Linked DNA regions of Mus musculus. The protein of the gene in region 1 purifies or fractionates together with the protein of each later gene. This does not show direct contact. Links are inferred from orthologs where the notes say so. Each region holds a gene or a part of one and is shown in the gene's direction. Other genes may lie near its edges. The genes, in order: Tnrc6c, Ago3, Cnot1, Pan2, Ago2, Ago1 and Cnot10.

Region 1 (3,500 bases):
TACCACTGAGACCTCAGGCACCATTGGCTCTGCAGGACCATATGGTCCAATTGGTAGAGCAACCTGCATAGTAGCCTGGACCTGTTGAGAAGTCTTCTCCTGTTCAGGCTCCACACGAAGCTAGCACCTTCCCAAGTCACTGGGTCTACGGACCCTGAGTAACACACCCAAGTGAGTAGATGTGCTGTCTCCAGAATCCAGACAGGCCCATTAAACGCTTCTTTCTAAGTGCAGTAACTCATCCTTCACTTTAGAAGAAATGGTACACATGCCCCACACCATTAGATTCCTAAGAATTTCACCAAAGTAGATTTTTGAATGTTGGTTGCTGTCTCCTGCACAGCAGGAGCTAGTCCAGTCATCTTGATAACATCAAGGAAACATTCGGGGTTTTAAGGGGTTGGTTGGTTGGTTGGTTGGTTGGTGGTTTTTGTTGTTGCTGTTTTGTAGTCCTGGGATGGAACCCAGGAACTTAGATGTGCTGGGCAGGTGCTCTACCACTGAGCCACACCCACAGCCCCTTATGCTTTTTATGCATTTTTCAATGAGAATTGAGAACTTAAGATAAAAAGCTAGTTTTCTCCCCAAAACTAGTTCTTAGTTGATTCATTGACAGATGGGAGGAGAATCTAATTTTGAGTTTTGTTTCATCTTTTTCCAGATCTTGGTCACAGTGGATTGGTAGATCATTATGAAAATTCCCACTGGGGACAGCATCCCTCTTACAGAAGTGAAGCCAACTGCAGCTGGGATAAAGTGATAATAGACAGGACTGAGCCGGAGGTGTGGCCGTCCATCCCAGTAACTGAGACGGAATCTGCCTCAGAATGTCCTACCGACACTGACTCTGCCTCCAACTGTGGCTCAGAGAACAGTAGCATGGCTACAGGGAGTGCCCAGAGCAGCTTCCCGAGCCACCTGAAGAAGACAAACGGCAGTCATGGCACCAATGGCGCACTCGTCCAAAGCCCTTCTAACCAGAGTGCCCTTGGGGCAGGAGGAACCAATGGGAACGGGGGCGTGGCCAGAGTGTGGGGTGTAGCCACAAGCTCCAGCTCTGGCCTGGCTCACTGCTCTGTTGGTGGTGGAGATGGGAAAATGGACAACATGATCGGAGATGGGAGAAGTCAGAATTGTTGGGGTGCTTCTAACTCCAATGCGGGCATTAATCTCAACCTTAATCCAAATGCCAACCCAGCTGCCTGGCCTGTACTCGGGCATGAAGGAACTGTGGCAACAGGCAACCCTTCCAGTATTTGCAGTCCAGTCAGTGCCATAGGTCAGAATATGGGCAGCCAGAATGGGAACCCAGTGGGCGCCCTAGGTGCCTGGGGAAACTTGCTGCCCCAAGAGAGCGCAGAACCACAGACATCCACTTCTCAGAATGTGTCTTTCAGCGTACAACCTCAGAACCTTAACACTGATGGACCAAATAACACTAACCCCATGAACTCTTCACCAAACCCTATCAATGCAATGCAGACAAACGGACTGCCAAACTGGGGCATGGCTGTTGGTATGGGGGCCATCATCCCACCCCACCTGCAAGGCCTTCCTGGTGCTAACGGATCATCAGTCTCTCAAGGCAGTGGGAGTGGTGGGGAAGGAATGGGCAGTTCTGTGTGGGGACTGTCCCCTGGTAACCCTGCCACAGGAAGTACCAATTGTGGGTTCAGTCAAGGGAATGGAGACACTGTGAACTCAGCATTAAGTGCTAAGCAGAACGGATCCAGCAGTGCTGTGCAGAAGGAAGGGAATGGAGGGAACGCCTGGGACTCAGGGCCTCCTGCAGGGCCTGGCATCCTTGCCTGGGGAAGGGGCAGTGGCACCAATGGCATTGGTAATATCCATTCAGGAGCTTGGGGCCATCCCAGCCGAAGTTCTTCTAATGGTGTGAATGGGGAGTGGGGGAAGCCCCCAAACCAGCATTCCAGTAGTGACATCAGTGGGAAAGGATCAACAGGGTGGGACAGTGCCAGTGCTGCCAGCCAGACCCCTGCCCTGCAGCCTGGCAGTGAACACATGAACTCGTGGGCCAAAGCCACATCTTCTGGAACTACAGCAAGTGAAGGAAGCAGTGATGGGTCCGGCAATCACAATGAAGGAAGCACTGGGAGGGAAGGGACAGGAGAGGGCCGGAGGCGAGACAAAGGGGTTCTAGACCAAGGGCACATCCAGTTGCCAAGGAATGACCTTGACCCAAGAGTTCTGTCTAACAGTGGTTGGGGACAGACTCCCGTAAAGCAAAACACTGCCTGGGAATTTGAAGAGTCCCCTAGGTCTGAAAGGAAAAATGACAATGGGACAGAGGCCTGGGGTAGTATAGCTACTCAGCCTTCAAACTCAGGGGGGAAGACTGATGGGTCCATCATGAACAGTACAAATACCTCTTCAGTATCGGGGTGGGTCAGCTCACCACCTGCCGCCGTGCCAGCAAACACAAGCTGGGGAGACAGCAACAACAAAGCGCCAAGTGGCCCAGGAGTTTGGGGGGACTCAATAAGCTCTACTGCTGTTAACAATGCTGCTGCCACCAAGAGTGGCCATGCTTGGAGTGGGACTGTAAACCAAGAGGACAAATCACCCACCTGGGGTGAGCCTCAGAAGCCCAAATCCCAAAACTGGGGAGATGGACAAAGAGCAAACCCAGCCTGGAGCACAGGGGCAGGAGACTGGGCAGATTCATCATCTGTCCTTGGACATCTAGGGGATGGAAAGAAAAATGGATCTGGATGGGATGCTGATGGTAATAGGTCAGGGTCTGGTTGGAATGATGCCACGAGATGTGGGACCAGTGGCTGGGGCAGTGGCACAAATGCTAAGGTGAATCCAGGTACAAACTGGGGGGAGTCTCTCAAGCCTGGTCCCCAGCAGAACTGGGCTCATAAGCCCCAAGACAACAATGTGAGTAACTGGGGAGGAGCTGCTTCTGTTAAGCAGACAGGGACAGGGTGGATTGGGGGGCCACTGCCAGTCAAGCAGAAGGACAGCAGTGAGGCGACTGGCTGGGAGGAGCCTTCCCCACCCTCCATCCGACGCAAAATGGAAATTGATGATGGTACCTCAGCTTGGGGGGACCCAAGCACCTACAACAATAAAACTGTAAACATGTGGGACAGAAACAATCCAGTCATCCAGAGCAGTACCACAGCCCCTGCCACCCCCACGACCCCCACCTCGAGCAGCACCACACACCGGGCCGAGACGCCGCCTTCACACCAGGCTGGCACTCAGCTGAATCGGTCACCACTGCTCGGGCCAGGTATGCTGGGGGCCCTCTGGTCATACCATTGGTGTGTACTCCGTGCCTGTGTAAATTCTTGGACTGAAACTCTCATAGCAAATGACTAAGTGGTGTAGCTGGTTTCCAAGGGAGGAAACAAAGCAAATTCTTGTAGTTTTCCAGGGAAAAGATGTGCTGGGTGGTGTGCTCAGTACTGCCAGGGCTCCGGCCATGTTGTCCTTTTCATCATGCTTCCAACAGTGAGGGGCTAATTTTA
Region 2 (4,300 bases), on another chromosome or scaffold:
AAAGATGAATCAGTGGTTATGATCACTGGCTGTTCTTCCAGAGAACCTAAGTGCTTCCCAGCACCCAGGATGGCTCACAACTGTTTGAACAGTTCTCAGGAATCTGCCACCCTCTTCTTGCCTCCAAGACACCAGAAGTGCAGAGACCAGACACCACCACACACATTTGAAAACAAATAAAAGCATGCTGTTTGTCACCACACCATGTTTTTCTGGAAGCTAGTTGAGCTTGCATTCATTCAAAGAACTAGTTCCAGAATCAAGAGATTGGGGGTAGGATAGGTCCTTCCACAAGTCTGAGATTTAGTTCTTATGGCTTAGGTCAATATGGATTGTATATAATCAGAGCTTGAACATGACTTTTAAGATGTGCTCATTCATCTGAGGATGTGATATTTTAAAAGTGATAAGAGTATTTCTTTTCAGTCAACAGGAAGAGAGGCAGAATTGGTGTGCTAGATGTGGCTTGGAGTCACTTCCATGTATTAAATGTTTATTATGTAGTCAGCATATTTATTAAGTACCTCAAAATTGTAACTATTGTAAATATTTTTGTTACTAACATTTGGGAGGTTTTTGTTTTTTGTTTTCCTTTCAGTTTTTCTGATGAGGAAACTAAAGTCCAAAGATAAAGTGACTAATCCAAAAACCCAAAACGGGGAGGGAAGGGATCGTGAAAATAAAATCTTTCTCAATTCTCTTTTTTAAAAAAGAAATATATGTCAAAACATTACTGGTTCATTGGGACACGGGGAAAAATACTGAATCATTGCTAAGCTTGCATGAAGTATCTGGTTTCACGAAGCCAAGTATTTTTAAAAGACGGACTATTTGCCGGATAATGAGCTGGGTCTAGTCTCCCAAAGGTTCCAAGTCAGCAGAAAAGCACCAGACTGGATCGGATCGGGGAAACTGGAGGCTGACCAATTTAGCTGTAAAAGTCTCGAGTCCCAAGGAAGAGAAGGTTTAGCAGGTGTTTAAACACCGGAAGGTCGTTTAGGTTCCTCAACGTATTGGGAGACTGTTTAAACATAAACGTAATTCCATCTGGTATACATGGAACATCCCGTTTCTTGTTCATCCGTTTAAAAACTATATTGAACTTGTGGTCACCGCCTAGTGCACGTGCTCCAAGCGGGTGTGGCAGACGGAGCTGGGAGGGAGGATGCCCTTGGCTGGTCACCCGCCACTCTCAGGTAGGATGTACCTCAGGTAAGCTCCGCGGGCAGGCAGCGATGTCGCCTCAAGCAGCGGTCCTCACCCGGGAGGCTGGCACGGGGAAAGCTGGCCTCTCGCTCGGGATTGTCGCCGTCAGGCACAGCGGGTGCAGGGCGACCGCCCATCCGCGGCTCCGCCCCAGCCAGGCACCGGCTCACCCGCCCACAGATCCCCAGACCTTGTTGCTCCCGCAAGGCTCTGGCTCCAGGCGAGCTGCCGACCCGGAGGGAGAGCGGGGCGGGATCCGGAGAGCGGAAGTGACGCGAGCGGGCTTCCGGGGGCGACCGGGAAAAGCGAGCGGCTGCGGCGGCGGGGCGGCTGGCGGGTCGGGAAGCTGCACGCGTCAGCATCTGTGGGCGACGCAAGTTCCGGACCTGGTTCCAGCGTCCTCACTCAGGACTGTCGCCGCTCTTACCTCGCTGCAGGCTGTCTGTCTCTCCCGACTGTGCCTCTTGTGCCCGGAGCTTTCCGAGGGCGTCCGCTCCTCGCCTCTGTGGTGGCACCCTTCTCTCGTGAAGCACTCCCCCCAGCTCCATGAATGGAAATCGGCTCCGCAGGTGAGGCGAGCTGCGGGACAGGGCAGGTGGGGTCGTTACCCCGATGTTGTCCCCTGAGCATCCTTGTTCCTTCCACTTCAGGTGCTGTCAGCGCACATAGTGAGGGAGTTGCGGGCTTTCAGGCCCGATGCGGGTGTCCTCTCCACAGCCCAGGGACCTACACTCTTGGGGTCATTGAGTTGGCGAAACTACAAGGAGGGCTTAAGTTTGGAGTTCTGTAGGTGATGACATCCCCCTAGAGTGCTTTCCCCTGAGAATGGAGAGAAGTTTGCCCTTGCTTTTGGAATTCTTGTTGGAAATATAAAGGGCGCGCTTGTCCTTTAACCGGGTCGTGTGTCCCATGGATGCAGAACAAGTCAGGCATAACCCTTATCTACCTATTAGTGTAGTTTGAGGATACTCTGAGATAATCAATGATTACGTTTCTAATTGGTGCTCGGGCGACGTCAGATGCAAGATGGCATTGCTCCCACCCCTGGTTCTCAGTGTCTGAGTGTGTAGTTTCTGAGGAGCTCGGAGATGTCCTGTCGCTCTGGACCACTGCTTACTAGAAGGCAGAGCTTCAGGATGCTGACACTATTTCCCCTCTATTTTCTATTCCCTGCACAGGAAATCTGGAATTTAGGATTTGTCTCTTGAGGAAAAAAAAAAAAAAAAAAAAAAGAGGTCTTGAGAAAGGAAGCCGGCCTGGATAGTGCTTGTCTTTAAAAAGGAAAAAGTAGTCAGCGATTCTAAAGTAGTTGATAGAGTAACATGAAATAGGTGTTACATAACGGCCTGCTGGCCCAGCAGTCACCCTGTTCTCCAGTTTGAAAGTTCTCTCCATCCACAAGATCAGTAATATATTGTTTTCATATATTTGGGGGATTGCCTTGTTATTATGTCCTAGCAAGTCACTGAATTTCATATCTCATCTTGCCAATTTGAAAGGTCCCCAAATATAAGAGAAAAAAAAAAACCCAAAACTAAAACTAGCAACATAGAAGGCCTTCAAATCAGTTCAGGGCATAATTGTCGAAGGGATACAAAAAGGCATTTCCTTTATTATGTGGAATTTCTTTCTACTCAGTGTCTACCATTTTTTCCCTTTCTATGTTCCATTTTTTTTCTCATATTTTCTTAACAGTGAAATATGTCTAGGCTGTGAAGTTTTGGACTCTTATTATCAATATGTGTGTTTCCAGACTGTATTTTCTATGCTTTAAAAGTTTACATTCTGTCTGTACTGCTTTTACTTTATAAGATAATCTGATTATTTCCAGCTCTCTGATTTTTACATAGCTACCCTGTTGCCAAGCCTGGAAAACTAAATATGACATTTAAGGTTGTGTTAATCATCTACCTAAAACTTTTGAAGAGCTTTCCCCCAAATTGAGTATTTTCCCTATTTGGGCTTTTTATGTGAAAATATTGACATGTGTTGATTATTTGTGATATAGGGCCAACTACTCAGTTGATACAATTAGCTAAGCCTGACTCAGTAAAATGTACCTTTTCTTTTTGGGTGTTGTTTTGATAAAATATAGAGCAGTTGATGTCTTCCCATCAGGGAAGGTATAGTTAAGATTTATTAACTAGTTTGGCAATGGTGGCTCACACCTCGGTCCCAACATTCAGGAGGCAGAGATGGTTCAATCTTTGTGAGTTGGAGGCCCGCCTGATTTACATAAAGAGTTCTAGGCCAGCTGGGGCTACTTAGTGAGACCTTGTCTAAACAAACAACAAAACAACCAAATTGTTGTTCATTGAATAAAAACAAACAAAACAGTTCTACCAGCCATGCTTGGCCATCTTGAAACATAGAATTTGTTCTTCAGTGAAGTTTATGTGTGACTGGCTGTTGTTTACTATCAGGCTCAAGGTTGTTACCATCAAAATGATTCTTTTGGTTGGGTGCAGCGACCCATGGCTTTAACCTCAACACCTGGGTTTCTGTGATTTAGAGGCCAGTCTAGTCTACATAGTGAGTTCTAGGCCAGCCAAAGCTACATAGTGAGACCCTTCGGAAGGAAGGAAGGAAAGAAAGAAGGAAGGAAGGAGAAACAGAGAGAAAAAGGGAGAGAGAGTTTTTTGTGTTGTTCTTGCGATTTTTATGTAATTGTTACAGTGAATGTGAAATTGAAACATACTTAGGAAAATAGACAACTAGGTTTTAAATTCAGATTTGACATTTTTTAGCTATGTGGGCTGGAGAGATGGCTCAGCAAGTAAGAGCACTTGCTGTTTCAGCAGAGGACCCGGGTTTGGTTCCTAGCACCATGTGGTAGCTCAAAACTATAACTTCAGTCCCAGGGGATCTGATGCCCTCTCCTGACCTCCAAGGGCATCAGGCATGCATATGGTGCACATACATATGTGCTGGTAAAACATTCATACACATAAAGCAATATAATAAATTTTAAATTTGAAAAAAATAGATATAGGTGCTTTCTAACAGTCTATTAGGTTAGTACTGAAATTTTGGTTCTCAAATTCTGTTTTCCTTTTAGTGCAATAGAGGATATAAAATATAATTATTATGTAAT
Region 3 (4,300 bases), on another chromosome or scaffold:
AGAGGAGCTGTTTTTGCAGAGGTGCAGGGGTGGGTTTCCAGCACTCATAGAGCAGCTTACAACTTTACTGCTGAGACTCTCATCTCAGTCCCGGGGCATCCAATGCCTTCCTGGGTACCAGGTCCACACTCTCTAGGTGAACATATATATAGGCAAGCACTCAGACACTTTTTTTTTTTCATCTAGGGGTTGGAAAGATGGCACAGAGATTACAAGAGCTGGCTGCTTTTCCAGAGGACCCACCCAGTGGCTCACAACCGTTCACTTCCAGAGGGACGGGCATCCTCTTCTGACCTCTGAGGACATTGTACATGCATGGTGCATAGATTTACATGCAAGCAAACGCCTGTACACGTAAAATAAGTAATAAAAGTCTTTAACACATCTCTTTAAAGTTCAAATAGTACTGGTATGAGAGGTTACGTCTATTATCATCTCAGTATTTTGGAAGATTGCAAGGAGCTCAAGGTCAATTTATGCTTCTTAGTATGTTTCAGGCCAGCCTGGACTACAGTTGGGTTAACTGAAAGAGACCTTGTTTCAAAACTCAAACAAAAAGTCTAAAAGATAGGAGGACACAGTGGATAACGTAGCCTTTTATCCAAGAAGCAAAAGGCATTGGCATCCTTGAGAATAGCCAAGAGCAGGAGGAGAACTTCTGTTTCTATATCTCTGCAAAGCGTCCCTGCTTCAAAAGACAAATGGAAAACAAACTTTAAAAGAGCCAGGATTAGGTGGGCATCTGGGAGACTACATTCTCCAGCATGCATTGCTGCTCTAGGGCGCAGACAGTGATGGAAGAGACCACGTTACTTTTGCGACAGGAATAGGCGGGGCGTGCGACTACATAACCCAGGATGCAAAGGACCTCAACTTTGCCCCGCGTCTGACGCCTTCTGATGACTGGTGCTCCTTGCTAAAGAGATCCGAGGGGTGGACAATGCTTCCGCTGGGAACCCGCACAGCCTCTCGGACCGTGACATTTCGAAAGACGAAGGAAAGTAGACGAGCATCACCCTGTCTCTAAGTTAGAGTAGTTTGTGCGCAGGGTGGCAATGCATTAACGAGCTCCCTTCCGTATTTTTTTGTTTCCCGGAGGCAATGACCAGCCAGTCCCCATAGGTCGAACACCTCGAAGGCTTATGTCTTCGAGTCCCAAATCGAAGTTCCCAACGTCTAACCATTGGCTTACACCCGGGTGCGCAGGCGCCCAGACTCGGACCCAGTCCCAGGGCTGATGAGCGGCAATTGGCCTGAGCCCCGCAAACTAGGAGTCTGGATTGGTGGTTGCTAGCAGGAGCCTGGTTTCTTCCTCGACTTCTGCGAGTGATTAGTGTGTGATTGGTTTAAATCCGCGGGTACCCATCGGCGATTGGACCGCCGTTGCGGTCAGCGCGCGGCCATTGGCTGGGCGCTAGGGCCATCCCTCCGCCAAAGCGGGCAGCGAATGGTGAAATGGGAACTGGGAGGGGAAAGGCCGCGACGTGAGCGCGCGACCTCGGGCGCCATTTTGTCGAGAAAACAAGCGGAGTTAACCGAAGAGGGGGGTCGAGGAGAGCCGGAGTCGAGGACCCAGGAGTTTCCTGTGTCCAGCGCTGCGGGAGCCGACTGAGGTGAGGCGGGCTGGGGCTGCGGTTGGAGGTGGCGGAGGCTGGGAGTGTCAAGCTCGGGACGCGGGTCCGGGTGGGAGCGGTACCGGGGGTGGGGTGGACTGGGGACCCTGGAAGCCTTTTCCCGGGGCGTCGGGACTCGGGCAGGCGAGCCGGAGACGTGGAGCCAAGGCGGGAGGGGACGGACTCGGCCCGCTCGCGGCGGCTTTGCTCTCTTGGAGAAGGGAGACCGGGGGCTCACGTTCCTGGATTCGGAGCGCCCGGGCGCGGGTGAGCAGCTCCGGAGCGGCTCGGCCTGGAGGCCTTGCCTGGAGGCTTCGAGGATGGCGGCGGCGGAGGTGGCAGTTCGGATCCCAGGGCCTCGGCTCGCCGCGCGCGCAGGGCTGCAGCCTCCTCGGAGCGCACGAGCTCCTCAACTGTCCCTTTCCTCCCGGGCTCCCGGATGGGGGGCTATGGGCGCGGGCGCCCGCGGCCTACCTAGGTTCCTCGCTGGGCGGGCGGGCCAGGGGGCGGGTTTGGAGTTGCTGCCGATTCGTAGCGCTTTCCGGGGACTCCCTCCCCTCCTGCGCCCCCCAGCACGTTGTCAAGCCCCTCGCTTTTGGCTGCTTGGCGGTGGGAGGGGCGGGCGGGCGGGAGTGAGCACTTCCGTGTTACCCTTCTCGCTACAGGTTTTTTGTTCCACTCGCGCGCCCCGGCGCTCGCACTTTCTAACAAGTCGATAGCCCCCCAACTTAAGTCACCTAGGTCCCTGTGCGGTTGGTAGTGTTGGTTCTGCCTGTCCCAACGCCCCCAACCCTCCAACCGGCAACTACCGGCAGATGCCCACCAGTGAGCAGAATGCTTGTGGGTCTTGATTTGGTGCAGATCTTGGAGAGATCTTAGGTTAAGCCTAAGGCTAATAAGCAAACACATTTGGCCATGCCACCAGGTCCGGGAGGGAGCTCACCCACCTGTGCTCACAGACATTACTTGCAGGAGGAGTGCTTTGTAGGTTTTGAAAAGAAGTGCTTTTCAAAGTGTTGTATGGAAAATTAAGCTTCATGAGAGGTAAACGTTCCCCAGAAGTCACCTCGACAAATATTACAGTCCCACCTTCCGTGGACATTTAATCCAGGCAGGCCTTGTATCAGTGAGCTCTAGCCCCAGATGTCGAGTTTCTTTGGGGCCTATATACTTCTTTTTCCTCTCTATTCAAAACCGAGTAACAGTACTTGAGTTTTCCGGTTTTGTTGCAGTTCGGTCCCTTGTGATTACAATGGAGAGGGGGGGGAACCCAACAACAATCAGCCAATAATTGAGTGGGTGTACTGCTTATTAGAGAAAATACCAGCATTTCCCTCCTGACCTCTCTTTGGAAAAGTAGTATACATGTGTGAAAATGGTGGAGGTAGAAATGGGACCTGTTTTCAGTGCTGTGTGAGGACATTACAGATGGTTGTCCCATGGCAGGAAGACCTGATGATAGCAAGCAGGGCCTTGGCCTGAATGGCAGGCAGGATGTTAGTAAAGGTTCTTTTTGCAGGCAGAGGGTCTGACTTGGGAATTTGGTTCTTTTTCACCTGGTCCTGGCTGTTTGTTTAGTGGAAGCAAGTCTAGAATCGAGGCACACACATACACACACACAAATCTGACCTTTAGCCGGGTGTGGTGACACTGGCTGCTTGTAATCCCAGCAGTACAGAATGGGGCATGAAGCTCATTGTGATTTCTTTACAGCCTGGGCTACATGTGAAAGCCTTGTCTCAGCAACAAAAACAGTGGGAAAAAACAAAGGCTGAGTGGGGAGGATCCTAGTCACTAATACCTGAAAGTATTTTTTTAAACCCAAGATTAAAATTTGTTGAATAACACACACACACACACACACACACACACACACACACGAGTGAGTGAGTTTAGCATTCTTGTGCCATAGCTCATGCGAGGAGAGGTCTAAGAATATGAGGAGTCAGTATTTTGACGCTTAGTGAAATGTAAAGGATGGATCTCAGGTCCTCATGCTTGTGTGACAAATGCTCTTACCTTTTGAGCCATCTTGAGGCCCTTAACAATTATAGTCTTAGAAGTTGGCTTTATATTCTTGGTGACTTTATTTTATTATTTGTGTGTGTGTTGTTCATATGTATGAGTACCGTGTGTTGAAGAGTTCAGCAGAGGGAGTTGGGTTCTGTGGAAGTGGGATTATGGTTGGGTTGGCTTGTAGTTAGGGTAGCCTCAAGTTCAGAGTCCTGTCTCAGATCACTAAGTGACAGTAGGGCAGTGTTAGATTGTAGATACTTATAGACTCTTCACCACATAACCCTGTTCTGTCTCTTTAAAGCACATTTATCGTGTGTGAGTGGATTTATGTTGGTATGGTGAGTACATCCCACAGTACTCATCAAGGGTAGAGGACAACTTTGAAGAGTGGGTTCTCTCCTACTGTTTTGGTCCCAAGCATAGACCGCAGGCAGTCAGACTCGGTGGCAGGTGCCTCTACCTACTAGTGCACTGCACTTGTCCCCATTTGATGCTTCTTGAATTAACCAAAATAGTATTTGCCCTTTTGAAATGGCGTGTTTGCTGACACACACACACACTCTGTATGTGTTGTTGGGGCTGAACACAAGACCTTAACATTTGAGGCAAATGCTCTCTACCCCTGAGCTGTGTGTTTTGCTCCTTGTTGGCACTCTCCCCACCCCAAGTAC
Region 4 (4,298 bases), on another chromosome or scaffold:
TATGAATGTGAAGACAACCACATTGAGTCTCAGGGATGGAACTCAGACCCTGACAGTTGGTAGCAGTATCCTTACCTGCTGTACCATCTTGAAATCCTCTTTCACCTTTTTGAAAAGAAATACATTTTTATTTGGATGAGGGGGGTGTTTTGAGACAGGGTCTCACTGTCTAACCTTGGTCGGCCTAGAATTCACTACGTAGACCAAGCTGTCCTCAAATTCACAGAAATCCATTCTGCCTCCTGAGTGGTGGGATTGCCATCCCACTTAGCCTGGTTTTTGTTTGTTTGAAACAGGGTCTCATGTAACCTGACTAGCCTGGGACTTGCTATATAGAAGAAGCTAACCTTGAACACTAATCCTCCTGCCTCAGGATTACTGCCATTACAAATATACCTCCACTATGCCTGGCCCAATAAATGCTTTAAAAGTTTTATTATTGGTGTTTATTATTGGTGAGAACTTTCTTCCACAGGCACCTGTTGAAAGGGATATTCACCATGTAGCCATAGCAAGCCTGGTCCTTACTATCTATGTAGCCTAGGCTGGCCTCGAATTTGTAAGGGATTCCTGCCTCTGCTTTAATAATGCAGGTATTGTAGGTATGGACCACTAGTGGCACAGGGCCTTTAAAAACAGAGATGACAGAGCTGAGTTTGGGCAACCTAAGACATCTCACAGCCTGGACCAATTCCAAAGCAGTTTAGTACACAGCCAGTACCCCCAAATATTTTAGACACGGTGACACACTCTCACAGGAGAGGGAGAGGCAGTAGGATCTCTTAGTTGGAGATTAATCAAGAACCCCTCAGAATAGCTACAGCTCAGTTGACTCAGTTTACTGTTTATCTCTCTCTTGGGGTCAATGTCCAGCTCCACGGTCTAGGGGAATTTTGACAGTCTAGGAGACTTGTTTCTTGGGAAAATTAGGGGACCTCTGGGGACGACACAAACATTGATGGGAATTTCAGATGGATGCCTCTAGAAATAGAGAAAAGGTGGCCACTTGGGCCACACTAGAAGTCAGGCTCCCGCTTCCTTTTTCTTCCCCACATCTAGAAGTCATAGGAAATGCCAGTGAGTTTCGGGGGTACAGGGTCAGAGGTATTGGAATGGCTCACAGGCACAGCAAGATGAAGGTCTATACGCCGGGAATGATGAAGGCCACGCTGGGAATACCCACCGGGCGAGTCCCAGTGCTTAGCCTCTGGCGCCCCTTTAGTCTAGTTCTTATTCAGGGAGCGTAAAAGCTTGGCTTCAAAGTCTAAAGTTAATTTTGCTTAACAAAGCCTGAGAGCGAAGGGATTACTTTTCGTAACACCAAATAGATCCGCGCCTGATTCAGTTTGTCCCCGGTGGCATTCCGTAACCTTGTTTTGGCGGAGGCTACGTCACTCTCCTTCTCAGGCGCTGCCTGTACCTGGCTTTTTCTGATTGGCTGGGATGAGCCCGTGGCCCCCGCTGATTGGAAGCGATGGCTGCCAATCCACCGTCCGTCTTGCTTGGGTTAGGTTGAGCTAGAGGCGGGGGAGTAGTAGGGAAACTGGAATTTCCCGCGGAGCTGACGGCGCTTTCTCTACCCCCTACTCGTTTGAATTCCACGCGCTCCAAAATATCCGCCATGGAGAAATCTTGGTAATGACCCATTCCCCGTAAGCATCCCAGGAACACGTCTTGACCTTTGCCCTAATCCTTCCCCTCCCGTCCCCTGCGCTGGGGGAGAATTCTGGGTAACCAGTTTCTCTGGTTCGCTCAAAGAATTCTGGGTAGCTATCCGTTTCCATTACTTCCCCCTTACCCCCGCCCCGTTTGTGGGTAACTGGCCGTTCTTGTTACCCACCCCCTGGAGAATGCTGGGTAACCACTGTAAAGGATTCTGGGAAACTGGCTTGTCTTGCCCCCTTCACCGCCCAGCCCCTTTGTCTCATGTCCAATTCTAAGAAACAAGCATTTCAGAGCTCTCCCCCGAACTCCAGCCCCTATCAAACCCGCTCCCTTCACCTTGTGGTTCAGGAGAAAGGGAAGTCAAGAGTTAGATCATTTGGTGGGCTGGCAGGGAACTTAGGAAGTTTAGAGGTGCAGAGTAAGGGACACTGTCATGCCACTCACAGTACAGCGTTGCCCTTGTCCTCTTCATGCATGCTTCCGTCTTTGCCTGGCAGTCTCATCCCCTCTGCCTACCTGATTGTCCTGTCCACATAGAAGATACTTCCAGTACCTAGGCCTATCCCTGACTGCGCTGCCTCTTTCCCTTGCAGGCCAGAATGTCCATTCTAGGTTCACTGGTGCTGTCCTCCTGAAGGCTGGGTCACTTGTCTGTAGGAAGCGTGGCAAGGGAGGGTGTGACTCCGGTCTGACCAGCGGCCACTATCGTCATGAACTTTGAGGGTCTGGATCCTGGACTGGCCGAATTTTCCCCAGCTATGCATTCTACCCTGGACCCAGTCCTGGATGCCCACCTGAATCCAAGTTTGCTACAGAATGTGGAGCTAGACCCAGAGGGAGTGGCCTTGGAGGCTCTTCCTGTCCAGGAGTCAGTGCACATAATGGAAGGTGTCTACTCTGAGTTGCACAGCGTGGTGGCTGAAGTGGGAGTGCCTGTGTCTGTCTCCCACTTTGATTTACATGAGGAGATGCTGTGGGTGGGGAGCCATGGGGTAAGAACTATACCCCTTTCTGAAGGCTGAAAGGGTGTATTAGAAATCTTTATCTGGTCTTTGCCCAAGGACAGCTCTTTGCAGGTAGTCAAAACTGAGTTGAACTGATGAGAGTTAGCTGGGTCTTTCAAACCAACAAGGGAGTGGAGAGATTAACTACATATTTAGTTTCATAAGGCATTCCACTCTGTCAGTTCTCCTATCACTACTGTGTTTTTGCGACAACATCTCTCTCTATAGTCCAGGCTGATCTAGAACTCACAGCAGTCCTCCTGCTTTTGCCTCCAAAGTGCTGAGTTTCCTTGTATGTAACCATATCTGACTGTTGTTTATTGTTTTTGTTGTGTTGTTGTTTGTTTATTGTTTTTAAAGACAGGGTCTCTCTATCCCAATCTGGCCTTAAACTTTATGTATAGCCAAGGATCGTCTTGAATGTCTGATCCTCCTGCCTCTATCTCCTGAGCGCTGGGAAGATAGACACCAAACCCATATTCAGTGTATGTTGCTGAGATAAACCCCGAGGCTTTTTGCACAGCAGGCAAGCACTGAACTCACTCCTACAGGTCAAATCCTGGTTTTGTTTTGTTTTGTTTTTTGTTTGTTTTTTGTTTTTCGAGATAGGGTTTCTCTGTGTAGCCCTGGCTGTCCTGGAACTCACTTTGTAGACCAGGCTGGCCTTGAACTCAGAAATCTGCCTGCCTCTGCCTCCCGAGTGCCTGGTTTTGTTTTAAGATAGGGTTTTGCTGTGTAACCCAGGCTGGCCTCAGATTTACAACCCTAACATCATCTCCAGAGTGCTGAGTTTATAGGGGTATCACCAACCAAGCTCAGCCCATGTTTTGATTAACTATATCCATCCCTTAGTTTATAGCCATCCATACTCTTTAATATTTTACCCAATTTAGAATTGGGAATGGGGTCGGGGTTTGAAACAATCTCAGTATGTAGCACCTTCTGATCTGGGACTTACTATGCAGCCTAGGGTGGCTTTGAACTAGGGGCAGCCTTATCTCAACCTCAAAGTGCTAGTGTTTCAGGAATGCACCACACCTCGTTTATAATTGCAGAATGTTTAATGAATGTTTTTGGATACCTATTGGAGTTATTTTGTCTTCTCTTTCTGATTGTTAGTCTTAGCAGTTATCAGTGTTAATTTTCAAGTGTGTAATAATATATGCTATGAGGCCAAATAGTTTTTGTAAGACCTTGGTTTACTTATTTACGATTTCATGGGGGTATGAATTGTTTTTCCATTAGGAGAAATGAACTTTTTCACCGATGTATTCAGTTCAGTAAGTCAGGCATGACTACTGCTGTGCTCGGCACAGGGAACAGAACTGAATGCAGCATAGACCATAGAACAGGCATGGTTGTTCACACCCTATAACCTTGACTTGGAGGCTGAGGCAGAAGGATGGTAAGTTCCAGGCCAGCATGGATTACCATAGTAAGACCATGTTTCAAAAACCAACTGCCACCACCAAAACAGAGGTCTCCCTGCCTTTACATCCTCAATGCTAGACTCTGAGGCATGCGTTGTTGTGCCTAGCTTTGCACTTAAAAAAAAAAAGTATTTGGTGGTGGAAGCTGGAAGGTGGGCACTTATTCAACCTCTTGTCAGCAGAATGAAGTGCACACAAC
Region 5 (4,093 bases), on another chromosome or scaffold:
TGAAGTCTAACACCGCCTCCCGCCGAACACCACCTCCCCCCCCCCCCCACCTCACCGCATCCCCATTAGTTCTGTGTTACCCTGACTGGTTCTGAGCCAAGATGACTCCTGAGTTCAGCAAATCCTGTCTCCATCCCTAAAGTACCAAAGTATTGGTACCGCAAGGGCTAGGTATGATTGATTACCCATTTGTGTCAATCACTTGGGAGAGGGGTGGGGGCAAGTCTTTCTTCTATGTATCCTAGACTAGATTTACGGTTGCCATCCGCCTCCCTCGACTTCTGGCTAGCTGGAATGGCAGCCCTGCAATGCTGTGTCTAGTTTCCTCCTCCTCCTCCTTTATTGGAAGGAGAGCTGCTTTTCTTGTTCCTGGGACTATCTTTGAGCACTACACAGAATATGGAGCCTACCCCGATCCTGGGGTCCCTGCAGTAGGACCCTGTTTGTCTTTGGCCTGGGTTCTCAGTATGGGCTTTGAAGACATTGCAAAGCCTGCAGGGCGAGGCAGGAGCTGACACACCCGCCTCTTCTATAGAAAGGTTCCAGAGGCAGCTGGACAGGACTAGGAGCACACGCCAGCAACAAGTGAAGAAGGGACATACGTGCACAGAGCATGCTGGTCTAGCAGGCCTCAGAGCAGAACTTGGGGGCTCGGAGGCCAGAAAGCGGGAAGCCCCGACCAGATCTGCTCCCTGACAGCTGATAAAATTTAATCCTGAACTTGCTGGGCTTCCTTGGTGCTTTGCTAGGATTATCTAGGTTGTGGAGTCGCGCCGGGAGGTGGCGGTGTGGTCACGCGCACGGGTCTGGCCGCGTCCAAGTTCAAGCTCTGGGTGGGGAGCTAGCTTCCCGTCGCCGTTTCGTTAATAACTTAAAGAGCCAGGCCGAGGTGCAGGGGCGGGTGCGTGGCGGGACGCGGCCGAGGCTCTGCCACTCGGCGCGGGAGGACTCCGACTCTGGTCGCAGTGCCGGGCTGGCCGCGCCCGGAAACCAGACGTCGCCTCGCTCGGCCGCAGGGAAGGTCTCGGCTCGCGTGCCCTGGGTCGCTTCTGGGGTCCCTCATTCAGGGCAAGCACGCGGGGGGCCGCCACAGCGAGTCCCCCCCCCCCCATCCCGCCGGCGCGCGCCGCCTCCAGCCTCCTCCCCTGCCCCCCTCTCTCCCTGCCACCTTCCCTCCTCCCCGCCTCCTCCCTCCCCGCTGTCCCCTCCTTCCCTCCCTCCCCGCCGTCCCCTCCCTCGTCGTCCCTCTCGCCCCTCCTCCTCCCCTCCCTCCTCCCGCTCCCCTCCCCCTCCGCTCCCGCCGCCTCCGCCCGCCGCCCCGGCCGCGTCGGGTAAACCTGTTCTGCGAGGCGGCCGCGCCGGGGCGGATCGAGCGGCCGGCGGCTCCTCGCGGCTCGCGGCGTCGGGGCCCGTGGAGCGCGCGGCCGGCCCTCGGCCGCGGCCCTCGGCAACGCCACCATGTACTCGGGAGCCGGCCCCGGTGAGTCCGCGCGGCGCCCGGCACTCGTGCCGCGGCGGTTGGCGGTTGGCGGGCGGGGCAGGCGAGGGCGGCGGGGCCTGTGGGGCCGCGGCGTAGCCTCGGGGCGGCCGGGCAGGGCCTCGGGGCCGGGAGGCCCAGTGCACCCGAGCAGCGCCACCGGGACGTGTGCGGGGGCCCAGGCTCGGCCTGCAACGGGTCTCCGTCCTCCCGCAGCGCTCCTCCCGCCGTTCCCGAGCGCATAGCTGTGGGGCCCAGCACGGCGGGCCTGGGGCGGGGAGCTGGACGGGTCGGGAACCGAACCACGGGGCCCCGGGACCGCGATCGGTCGCTTGGACGCAGTTTCACGCCGGGCAGCCGCCCTCCCCATTCAAGTGCTAATCGCCCTGCGATTTCCTAGCGGAGCGGGTGGCCGCCGTGGCACCCCTTTCCCACCAGCGTGCCCGTTTCTCTGGAAAAGTTCCAGAAAACTTAAAAACACGGACGCATTTCCCCACCCCGCTCCTGGAGCCGAGCGGAGGGCGGTTTACTCGCGGGGTTGAGAAAACAAGTGTTGGGGAGGCTTTTTCGCCTTCTCCCGCCAGGCACGTGGCTCCATTTCCCGGCTGCCCCGCCGCTTGCTCGGGCTCAGCCTGCACCCCTTTGTCCGCCAGGCTGTACTTGGCGCCCGCGGGCCCTCCCTGCTGCCCACCTGACCTAGTGGTTCGGCCCTGGGGCCTCCCCAGACTTCTTCACTGTGGGGTCTGGAAGCCTCCCAGATCCTCCCGGGTTCCCTATGGTGCCTGCTCCGGAGCCTAGTGCGCCTCCGCTCCTGATGTCACAGGGCTCCTCGAATGCCCACTGACCAACTTGTAAATGCGTTAAAAGGCTTCCCAACGATTTGAAGACCCTTTTAACCTTGCGCTTGGGAGGTGCCCGGGTCCTAGGGACAGATGTTGGGGCCTGGAGGTCCCTGCGAAATGGCCAGCGGCAGCCTCCTGCCAGATTGGGAACCCCCCCCCCACCCCCACCCCCCAGCTCAGCGCTGTGGAGGAACCCAGCAAATCTTAGCTCCAAATTTGTACGTTTTCCCAATGTGTCAATTTCTAGTGACTTCCTCGGGGACGAGGCCAGGCTTTCGTCAATTTCGCGTGTTGATTGATCCCTTCAGCTTGCCACAGTGGGTCTTTCTTGAAGACGCTGGACAGTGGAGGCTCAGAGAGGTTTAACATCCGGGAGCCAGCAAGCATTAGGGCAACCTGTTTGAGCACTCCCCTCTAGAAGTGGTTCCCAGTCCCTTTGACCTTGACCCGCTGTTGGAAGTACTGGTTTGGTGTGGATTAGACCAGTGAGCTCTTTGCTAGGGTGGAAGTAAGAGCCTACTGTGTGTTCTGCAAGGGGAGCTTTGTTGCCTTTAAAAAAAAGAGAGAATGCGGTAGCAACCGGTTCATTTTGGTCACTGGCAGCTTTGAAGATGGCTGCTGCGTGGGCCTCCGCATTGTGGCCTAAGAGGGAGACAGTCCCCTCTAACCAAGAAGGCCTTGGGTGAGAAAAGAGATGCCTGTAGGATAATTCTTGGCTAATGGCAGACTGGGAAGGAACTCAAGTTTCAGGTGGGCCAGTGTCTGTAATTGCAAGCCTGGAGTGCAGCTCCATTTTATTGTACATATCAAGGCTTTTAATTCTGTTTACAAGGAATCCCCCCGCCCCCATCTCTTCAAAGAGACTCCATCATATTTCCAAGTTTAGGAGAATGGAAGACCATTGGATCTGAATTATAGAAAAGCGACAGACTTTTGCTGTTTCTGAGCTTGATGGGAAGTAAATAGTAAATTAACTTTAAAAATAGAATTCACCGTGGGTTCTTATTGTGTCTGTCACAAATACTGTTAGATGTGTGAGGTTAGTAACATTGGGGGCCAAGGTTTAGAACCTCATAGGGTTTTTTTCTTTTCCTTCCTGTGCTATTGGGGTTGGTTAGTGGTTTCGGGAAGGTAAATTAACTACCCATACTGAAACTTCCTAGATAGTGGGTTCTGGGTGGGGTCCCCCCCACCCAAGGATCTTAAACTGTCTGGGAGGAGCTTTGCCTCCTGCAAGGCGGTGCTCCTGCATTCTAGAGCCCAGGAGTATTTGCTACAAAATAACCTCTGTGACTCTGGAAACTGGGTTGAGAGTTGCCAATCAGGACTGAGTCTTTGATCATTGCTGTGGCCTCCGGTGGCAGCGGTTAGCCCTGCCCCCACCCTCATTCTCCCCAATTCACAGTTTTGTCTGAGGGTACCACTGCAGCCTGGCGGCCTGTGTGTGCCGCAGGGAAAGCTCTGCCAACAGCTGGAACGCACAGCCGGTGGCTGAGCACTTGTGGGAAATCTTTCCCCCACCCTCCAGTAGCTTGTGGGGGAATTTAAATAAGTGTTCAAGAAAAAAGATGTAAAAGCTTTGACTTACACATTCTGAAGAAGCAACATTTTGTAACTTTTGAGTTTCTCTGTCAACACCATTGGTTTTATTCTTTACAAGTAAAGAGGCTGGGGCTGCCAGAATGATAAAAATGTTTCTCTTCTTCCCCCCCCCCACTTTTAAAAAATTTTATGAACTGTTATCACACAATTTAAAAAAAAGTTTCTACCGTGG
Region 6 (3,500 bases), on another chromosome or scaffold:
GGGATCCTAGAACTTGGGAAAGGGAAAGATCTATCCGAAAGGGGGCAAGTGCTTCTCCAATGCAGAGTTTATGATTGTTCGTTCGGGACCGTTGCGAGTGTGGTTGTGTAGTTGTGTACTCTTGTGGTGTGCCTATGGGTAGACTTGGTCATTCATTTCATATGGGTATACTAAGTACCTGTCTTTGTGCCCGGCATTAGCTTGAGCTGTGACTAGGTCAAGTATGGTCCTCTTTTTGAAACACTGAGCTGAGGATGGTGAGTGTATGTGCAACAGTAAACTTTAAAGAGCTAGGATGTGAGAGGGGTGTTTGTTAGTGGGCTTGTGCGCAGTGTCCGCTCAGCTCTTTCTGGGATAGGTGTGACTAGTTTAGTTCCTTTGCCGCTGAGTTCTTTGGGCTGGACTTGCATGCTCCTCTGTGGAAAGGGGCTGGGGCTGATTTGACAGGTGGTTAGAGGGAGTCAAGTCCTTCAGCTTTGGAAAGTGTGCACCTCCCACAAAATGGTGCTCTTCCTGACCCCCCTCCCTAAGATATGCTCCGTATCCTCCCACCCCTGCCCCATCCCCCAGTCCTTTCCATGAAAGCAGAGCTCTGGTAAAGGGAGGTTCTGAGTTTATCCCTCTTCCACCTGGGCTAGTCTTCTGCAGGCAAGAACAATAGTAGCTGAGGACAAAGGCCCCACTTAGTCAACACACACACACACACACACACACACACACACACACACACAGAGAGAGAGAGAGAGAGAGAGAGAGAGAGAGAGAGAGAGAGAGAGAGAAAAGCTGGCCTATGCTAGCCTTTCCCAAGGGCCCCTTCTGTTCTGAATCGATCCTTTCTGCTGTCTGGACCCTCTGTGTGGAAAGATTTGTGGAGAATGGAAAGTGCTGTTTATTCCCCTTCTGACCTGCTGCCTCCCCTCTTACTGCTCTTCCTCCTTCCAGAACCTCCAGCTTTCTTCCTCATGTGAGCTTTTCTTTCCTTCTGTTTCTTCATTCTACATCTTGATAGTTTTTTCCCTGTACCCCAATCCAACTTACCTTGCCTTATCTGCACCCTTTCCCCCACCCCCTTCCTGTCTGTTTTCTCTTGTGTCCTCCAGATCCGACCTTCTCTCCCACCCTGGCAGTCTCCTCTTAGTCTGCAGATGCTGTCCTTCAACCCTTCTCTTCTTTATGTCTCTCCAGAGCCAGCCACTGCATGTCTCAATCCTCTCTCAGGCACCGGCCTTGCCCTTCCCAGCCTGGATTACTTAGGGTCATTCTCCTGTCCACATTAACAGAGGGTGTAATCACAAAGTTCTGTGCCATTTTGTGCTCTGGATGGTAATGAGTGAAGTAAGCCTCTCATAGCACAGAATAGGACCTTCTCCATCTGCCAGATGCCCGGTAGAGACAGTTATCTCAGTCTAGTGTAGAAGGAAGAAAAGGTTTTGTAAAACTAGGAAACAGACTTAACTACTTTTCTTGATGCAATAGGAACTCGTTACACATTTACTCGATGAGGTTTCAGATACACATTTTCCTAAATGAAGAAAGGTTTAAAACAAAAATAAAAGAGAAATAAGCCACCAGAAAAACCAGTGAGCCTGTGAGTGTCTGAGCTAGTGGAAGCCCCCTGCCGGGTTAGGAAAACTGGAAAGAGACCAGTGGTCTTGGTCTGAGGGGCCATGTCTGACCACGGTAGGAGACTGCCAGACTCTGTCCTCAGTGGCGTCTTTGTCTTCACAGCGGCAGGTGCCTACCTGCCTCCCCTGCAGCAGGTGTTTCAGGCACCCCGCCGGCCTGGCATTGGCACTGTGGGCAAACCAATCAAGCTTCTGGCCAATTACTTTGAGGTGGACATTCCTAAGATTGACGTTTACCATTACGAGGTGGACATCAAGCCGGATAAGTGTCCTCGCAGAGTCAACCGGTAAGCGATGCCCGCAGGTGGCACCAAGTCCAATTTATTAAACAGGGAAAAGAGGAAGCATGCCGGCTAGACGGAGTGTAGCACGGAGCATAGTCTAATATTTGCTGATGTGCATGAGCACAGAGACTAGAGACTTACTAAAGGAGCTGGTAGAGAAAGAAGTTAAAAGGCAAGGTCAAAATGGCGGGAATAAGAACAGGATGGATGTTCTTGCTTGCAGGGGATGTTGTGGAATGTGTAGTTGGAGGGGTTAGTCGAATAAGAAGCAGATTAAATTGGTTTATTATTACTTGAAAGTCATATTCACAATTAAAAACTAGGAATTAGCAGTGAAAAATTATTGTTCTTGAACATTTTTTTCTACAATCTTGAGTGTATTTTCAGATGTTTTTCTGTACGTGCATACATTAATATATGTACATTAATATTATAGTCATGAGTATATAATACATTCTATAGTAATATATCATCAATTTCTATTATCATTAATTATTAATTATATTCTTAACAAGCACATATAATATTACATTATTACATATTATTGTATATGCATATACACATTGATTTTGTACAAGTATTACATATAATAAAATATATGTGCATTAATGTTATGTATACATACGTGTCATAGTCAGGGTTTCTATTCCTGCACAAACATCCCGACCAAGAAACAAGTTGGGGAGGAAAGGGTTTATTCAGCTTACATTTCCACATTGCTGTTCATCACCAAGGAAGTCAGGACTAGAACTGAAGCAGGTCAGAAAGCAGGAACTGATGCACAGGCCACGGAGGGGTGCTGCTTACTGGCTTGCTTCTCCTGGCTTCCTCAGCCTGTTCTCTTATAGAACTCAGGACTACCAGCCCAGGGATGGCACCACCCACAATGGTCCCTCCCACCCTTGATCACTAATTGAGAAAATGCCTTACAGCTGAATCTCATGGAGGCATTTCCTTCTCTGCGATAACTCCAGCTTATGTCAAGTTGACACACAAAACCAGCCAATACAATATGTAATGTATGAACACATATAATATTAATGTACAATACTATATACTTTGTTCAATATTGTCCATTTTTTTCTGTTTAGCCACATATATTGGAAAATAGCGTATATTAGTTTATTTAGATCTGCCTTATTCTTTTGCATAGTGCCCTAGGTAGTCCTTGGGGTGGCCGCATAACTTTCTTGATCTATTGTGGAATATTTAGGTTGAGTCTAAACTTTGCAACAAGATTGAAACTGTTAAGTATTATATAAAGATACATATTTTCACCCATGCATGAATGTATCTGTAAGATAGAAGTCCTAGGAGTGGAGCCACTGGCACAAGGCAGTTTAAATTGAGACATTGTGGATTCCTAGAGGCTGTGTCAGAAGAACGTAGGTGTGGGAATGAGAGCAAGGTGATGATGGAGAGAAAACTGCTAAGAGTTTAGAGACCCAGAGAGAGGGATTGTTCTACACTTTATTTTATTATTTCTAGGCTAGCTCAGATCGTTTGCTCTTTTTCCTTTTGTTTTTGCTCGACCGACTGGGAATTAGAGGTTGTGGAAGGTTCAGGATAGACCTGAGAACAGGTGCTTCCC
Region 7 (4,069 bases), on another chromosome or scaffold:
ACTATGCTCCCATCAAAGCACCATTTGGGTCACTTTACAATTCAGTGCTGTTGTCATTTATATATGAAGTTCCTCTCCCTCAAAAGCCTGCATATAGGAGGCCCGGCCCCCAGTCCTTGAGAGTGATAATAGGATTCCAACAGTTTGGAGCTATCCTTGGATTCATCCACTTGCAGATTCGTAATTTGGTGCATCATTAGGAAGTAATGGAAATTAAGGAGGTGCGGCCCAGTGGGGCTAAGTATCTCAGTTGCATGTGCCCTTGGAGACTATTTCTTCTCCCAGCTTCCTCTGCTTCTAGCACCAGGAAGGCAACAACTTTACTCTGTCACTTGTGCCCTGGCACAATGCACTGCTTCACTAATGGTCCAAAAACAATGGAACCAAGTGACCTGGGACTGAAAACTCTGATACACGAGGCAAAAAATCCATCCTTCCTCATTTAAATTCTCCTCTAGGGTATTTATCACAGAAGCAAAAAGTCTAACACAAATGCTTTTAATGTCTGTTTCTCTCCGTGAAATGAACCTCTGTTATTATAAATGCTGTTTGTTCTCTAGAAGGGAAAGGAAGAATGGAGTAGGTGCTTCTGGAACCCAAGGCTATGGTCATTGAGCAAAACCAGAACCAGTTCAGGGTTAAAGCCTTTGCCACAAAGACTGCCAGATAGGGATACATAGTGAGATTCTGTCTCAAAAAATTAAACAAACAAACAAACAAAAATTTGTCACGATATGGGCTAGAGATGAGATAGTTGGGAGCTGGGTAGTTGAAGAGTGGGTATTGTTTTTGCAGAGGATTTGAACTTGAATCTAAATCATTGTGCTTAGTAATCGTGATGCATCAAGCTTTTGTCTTAGACCGACCTACCATAGTAAGTTAATGGTTGCATGACTCGCAATCAGAGAAACCGCATGCATAATGCAGTCTGAATGGCTTTTTCAACTTGGCTACAAATAACAAAACAGCTCTGAAACTTTGAAAAAAAAAAAAGCCTTTTTTCTGGGGGAGGTGGCCTCCTCTAACAACACTTCTCTCATCCTCATTGTTATGGAAAAACAGCCCCTATGAGACTCAGAGCTTAGCACATAAACCTCAGGTGTGGTGCCTGCCATTTTGCTGAAATGCGGAACAAAAAGTCCTTCCCCTTCTGTGTTTCACTCAGGACCTACACTAGTGTACTTCCGGGTTTGCAGAAGGACGCGCTTCCGGGGCCGAGGCCAGCCCTAATTCCCACGCCCAGCTGGCCCCGCCCCGGAAGTAGCGTCTCCCTTGGCCGCTACGGGACGGAAGCTGTGGATGGCGGGGAAAACAGCCCTGCACCGGCGGATGTGTTGGCGCTGTTGCTAGACGACGAGCAGTAACTTCGTCACTTCCTCAGCCCGTGGCCCGCCCAGGACCTTAGCCGAGGCGACTGGAGCGGGCTTGAGCTGAAGAGTTGTCCCCCGCCGGTAGGACTCACCACCAGCCCGGCGGCGGGAGTCGGGGCCACGCCACCTACAGGGAGGAACTCGAGCCGAGGCGGGAAGATGGCTGCAGACAAGCCTGCAGGTGAGGCGCCCGCGCCGCGACCCAGGGGCTGACACACTGCGCGCGGGGACGGCAGGGCCCGCGTGGGGGACCCGAGGGCCACTTGACTTCGCTTGGGTACTTGTGCCCTTCACTCTTCTCAGCTGTCTCTACTGTGAGTCCAGTGGATTTTCTGCTGTGACACATCTTGATTCTACTGCACCCCATCTTGATTGCACTGCATTTGCCTTGCTCTCCAAGTTAATTCTGGCGCAGGAAGCTTGAATTTGTCACGCCGCTGTCCAGACGCTTTAAGGGAAAGTCTATCCGAGCACGCACGGTTGCCGTAAGGCCCCCCCAGGCTCAGCCACTGAAAAAGTTCCCTCTGGTCAGCGTGTCCAGTGGAGTCATTCTGAAAACTGTCTAAAGAGGCGTGACGTTTCACTGTGTCTCCTGCCTGCTCTCACTTACCTTGTTCCTCATCTGATTTTTCCCGAGCTCCTCGAGATTCCTTTTTAAAAGTCTTAATTATGTGTGTGAGTGCAGGTGCCTGCCGAGACTAGAAGAGGACATTGCGTCTACTGGAGCTGGAGTTACACAGTTGTGGGCCACCACTTGTGGGTGCTGGGAACCCAGTCTTGGTCCTCGGCAAGAGCAGCGAGTGCTGTTAACCGCTGAGCCATCACCTTTCCAGCCCCAAGATTAAGTTCTTTTTTTTTTTAAGTTATTTATTTATTTATTCATTATATGTATGTACACTGTAGCTGTTTTTCAGACACCCCAGAAGAGGGCATCAGATCTCATTAAGGATGGTTGTGAGCCACCATGTGGTTGCTGGGATTTTGAACTCAGGACCTACGGAAGTGTAGTCAGTGCTCTTAACCGCTGAGTTATCTCTCCAGTCCCAAGATAAAGTTCTTAATTTCTGTGGTTTTCTGTGGTACTCCATCAGGAATTTTTCCCATTAGGGAATTATGAGAGCCCATTTATTACCTGGAAAGTCTGCTATATTTCTTTGAAGAAAGTAATGTTTAGAGAGTGGGGCGGAATTGATTGGTTGATTGATTGATTGATTGATTGAGGCAGGGTCTCACTATGTATGTAGCCTTGGCTGTCCTGGAGCTCGCTATATAGACCAGGCTATTCTCAAACTCACTAGACATAAAGCCTCCTGAGTGCTAAATTAAAGTTGTGTGCCATTATACCCACTGCCATAGAATTTTAGCTAGGTGATCAGAGAAAATCTATTGTGAGGTGATTCCTTTTTTAAAGTTATTTTTAACTTTGGGTGTATGCACGTGAGGACAAATGCCTGAAGATGCTGTCCGAGGAGTTGGGTCACGCAGAGCTGGAGTTACAGGTAGTTGTGGGTGCTGGGAATCAAACTCAGGCCCTCTGAAGAGCAGTGTGTGCTTTTAATCACTGAGCACCAAGGTGATTTGCATGTCTTGGCTTTCAAGGATCAAATCCAATCATCAGGGCGCAAGTATCTTTACCCACCGAGCCCCTGCTGATCCAGCTCCTGCTGGGATAGTATTGAGCACAGATCTGAATAAAGTGAAGGGGTGATCCTGTTGGTGTGGGATGCAAGAAGGGTGCCAATTGCCTGCCCGGGTCTAGACGGGACCGGGACTGTCCTTGTTAATCAAAACAGTGCTGCTTCTGGAATCATTTCCCGGGAAGCGTCTCACCAGATCCAGGACTGCCCGGCTTGAGTTGCACCTCAGTCACGTGGCGTTCCTTCACTGCTTGCTTCCTTCCTTCACAAAGACACTGTGCAGGCATCCTTCAGATGATGAAGTGAGTGTAAGACAGCCTGCCTCTGAGGACCTGCACTCTGGACCTCTGCTGGGTTAAGTGGCATGGTTCTGGCTGTTGGGTCCTCGTAGTTGCTCTCTTACACTTTTCTTTTTGTTTTGTTTTGTTTTCTTTTCTTTTTTTTTTTTTTAGGTTTTTTTTCGAGACAAGATTTCTCTGTGTTGCCCCTGTCTGTCCTTGAACTCCCTCTGTAGACCAGGTTGGCCTCAAAAGCAGGAAATCCACCTGCCTCTGCCTCTGCCTCTACCTCAGAAGGCTGGCATCAAAGCGTGTGCTGACCCAGCTGCCAGCACCACTACCACCCGAGTAGTACTTTATCAGCACTTTACTCAGTGGGTAAAGGTGTTTTCTTTCAAGCCTGACACCTGAGTCCATCCCCAGGACTCATGCAGAGAAAACTGCCTTCTCCAGGTTGTCTCTGACACACGCACACGCAAGTAAACAGCACCAGCCAGTGTTTCTTATGGTAGTGGTGAAAGAGGCAGAAGAGACATGTTAAACTTATTTGGAAAGTGCCAGCCCAGGGTCCAGGAAGTGAAGGGGAGACACAGTGTATTCCATCCCTGCTCTTGATCCACCATGGGCTCTGAGAAGCCGTGGCAATCACTTCCTGTGGGAGTTTTTTTAAGGGGCCTCACCATGGCCCCCTCTGGAAAAACAGCCTCTGGAAGCAGTTTTTGAAAGTAGCACACGGGGAGAGGATTTGTCTGTGTTGCTTCCTCCTGCTTTCTTCTTCCGGTTG

What was found.
Region 2: the proteins of Tnrc6c (region 1) and Ago3 purify together in Homo sapiens (affinity purification with mass spectrometry; 3 studies listed by BioGRID and IntAct, with this or other methods). This does not show direct contact. The link is inferred for Mus musculus from reciprocal best matches to the Homo sapiens genes TNRC6C and AGO3.
Region 3: the proteins of Tnrc6c (region 1) and Cnot1 purify together in Homo sapiens (co-immunoprecipitation; 4 studies listed by BioGRID and IntAct, with this or other methods). This does not show direct contact. The link is inferred for Mus musculus from reciprocal best matches to the Homo sapiens genes TNRC6C and CNOT1.
Region 4: the proteins of Tnrc6c (region 1) and Pan2 purify together in Homo sapiens (affinity purification with western blotting; 3 studies listed by BioGRID and IntAct, with this or other methods). This does not show direct contact. The link is inferred for Mus musculus from reciprocal best matches to the Homo sapiens genes TNRC6C and PAN2.
Region 5: the proteins of Tnrc6c (region 1) and Ago2 purify together in Homo sapiens (co-immunoprecipitation; 6 studies listed by BioGRID and IntAct, with this or other methods). This does not show direct contact. The link is inferred for Mus musculus from reciprocal best matches to the Homo sapiens genes TNRC6C and AGO2.
Region 6: the proteins of Tnrc6c (region 1) and Ago1 purify together in Homo sapiens (affinity purification with mass spectrometry; 5 studies listed by BioGRID and IntAct, with this or other methods). This does not show direct contact. The link is inferred for Mus musculus from reciprocal best matches to the Homo sapiens genes TNRC6C and AGO1.
Region 7: the proteins of Tnrc6c (region 1) and Cnot10 purify together in Homo sapiens (co-immunoprecipitation; 3 studies listed by BioGRID and IntAct, with this or other methods). This does not show direct contact. The link is inferred for Mus musculus from reciprocal best matches to the Homo sapiens genes TNRC6C and CNOT10.

What each region holds. Positions count from the first base shown.
Region 1 is NC_000077.6:117,720,289-117,723,788, forward strand, and holds part of Tnrc6c (trinucleotide repeat-containing gene 6C protein), read left to right. Parts: intron 1-661; coding exon 662-3,262; intron 3,263-3,500. UniProt on the Homo sapiens protein: Plays a role in RNA-mediated gene silencing by micro-RNAs (miRNAs). Required for miRNA-dependent translational repression of complementary mRNAs by argonaute family proteins.
Region 2 is NC_000070.6:126,426,743-126,431,042, reverse strand, and holds the start of Ago3 (protein argonaute-3), read left to right. Parts: upstream 1-1,500; 5' UTR 1,501-1,756; coding exon 1,757-1,775; intron 1,776-4,300.
Region 3 is NC_000074.6:95,804,646-95,808,945, reverse strand, and holds the start of Cnot1 (CCR4-NOT transcription complex subunit 1), read left to right. Parts: upstream 1-1,500; 5' UTR 1,501-1,613; exon of another isoform or gene 1,614-2,116; intron 2,117-4,300.
Region 4 is NC_000076.6:128,301,837-128,306,134, forward strand, and holds the start of Pan2 (PAN2-PAN3 deadenylation complex catalytic subunit Pan2), read left to right. Parts: upstream 1-1,498; 5' UTR 1,499-1,635; intron 1,636-2,258; 5' UTR 2,259-2,375; coding exon 2,376-2,657; intron 2,658-4,298. UniProt on the Homo sapiens protein: Catalytic subunit of the poly(A)-nuclease (PAN) deadenylation complex, one of two cytoplasmic mRNA deadenylases involved in general and miRNA-mediated mRNA turnover.
Region 5 is NC_000081.6:73,182,148-73,186,240, reverse strand, and holds the start of Ago2 (protein argonaute-2), read left to right. Parts: upstream 1-1,293; 5' UTR 1,294-1,458; coding exon 1,459-1,480; intron 1,481-4,093.
Region 6 is NC_000070.6:126,462,084-126,465,583, reverse strand, and holds part of Ago1 (protein argonaute-1), read left to right. Parts: intron 1-1,728; coding exon 1,729-1,912; intron 1,913-3,500.
Region 7 is NC_000075.6:114,637,401-114,641,469, reverse strand, and holds the start of Cnot10 (CCR4-NOT transcription complex subunit 10), read left to right. Parts: upstream 1-1,269; 5' UTR 1,270-1,529; coding exon 1,530-1,551; intron 1,552-3,460; exon of another isoform or gene 3,461-4,069. UniProt on the Homo sapiens protein: Component of the CCR4-NOT complex which is one of the major cellular mRNA deadenylases and is linked to various cellular processes including bulk mRNA degradation, miRNA-mediated repression, translational repression during translational initiation and general transcription regulation.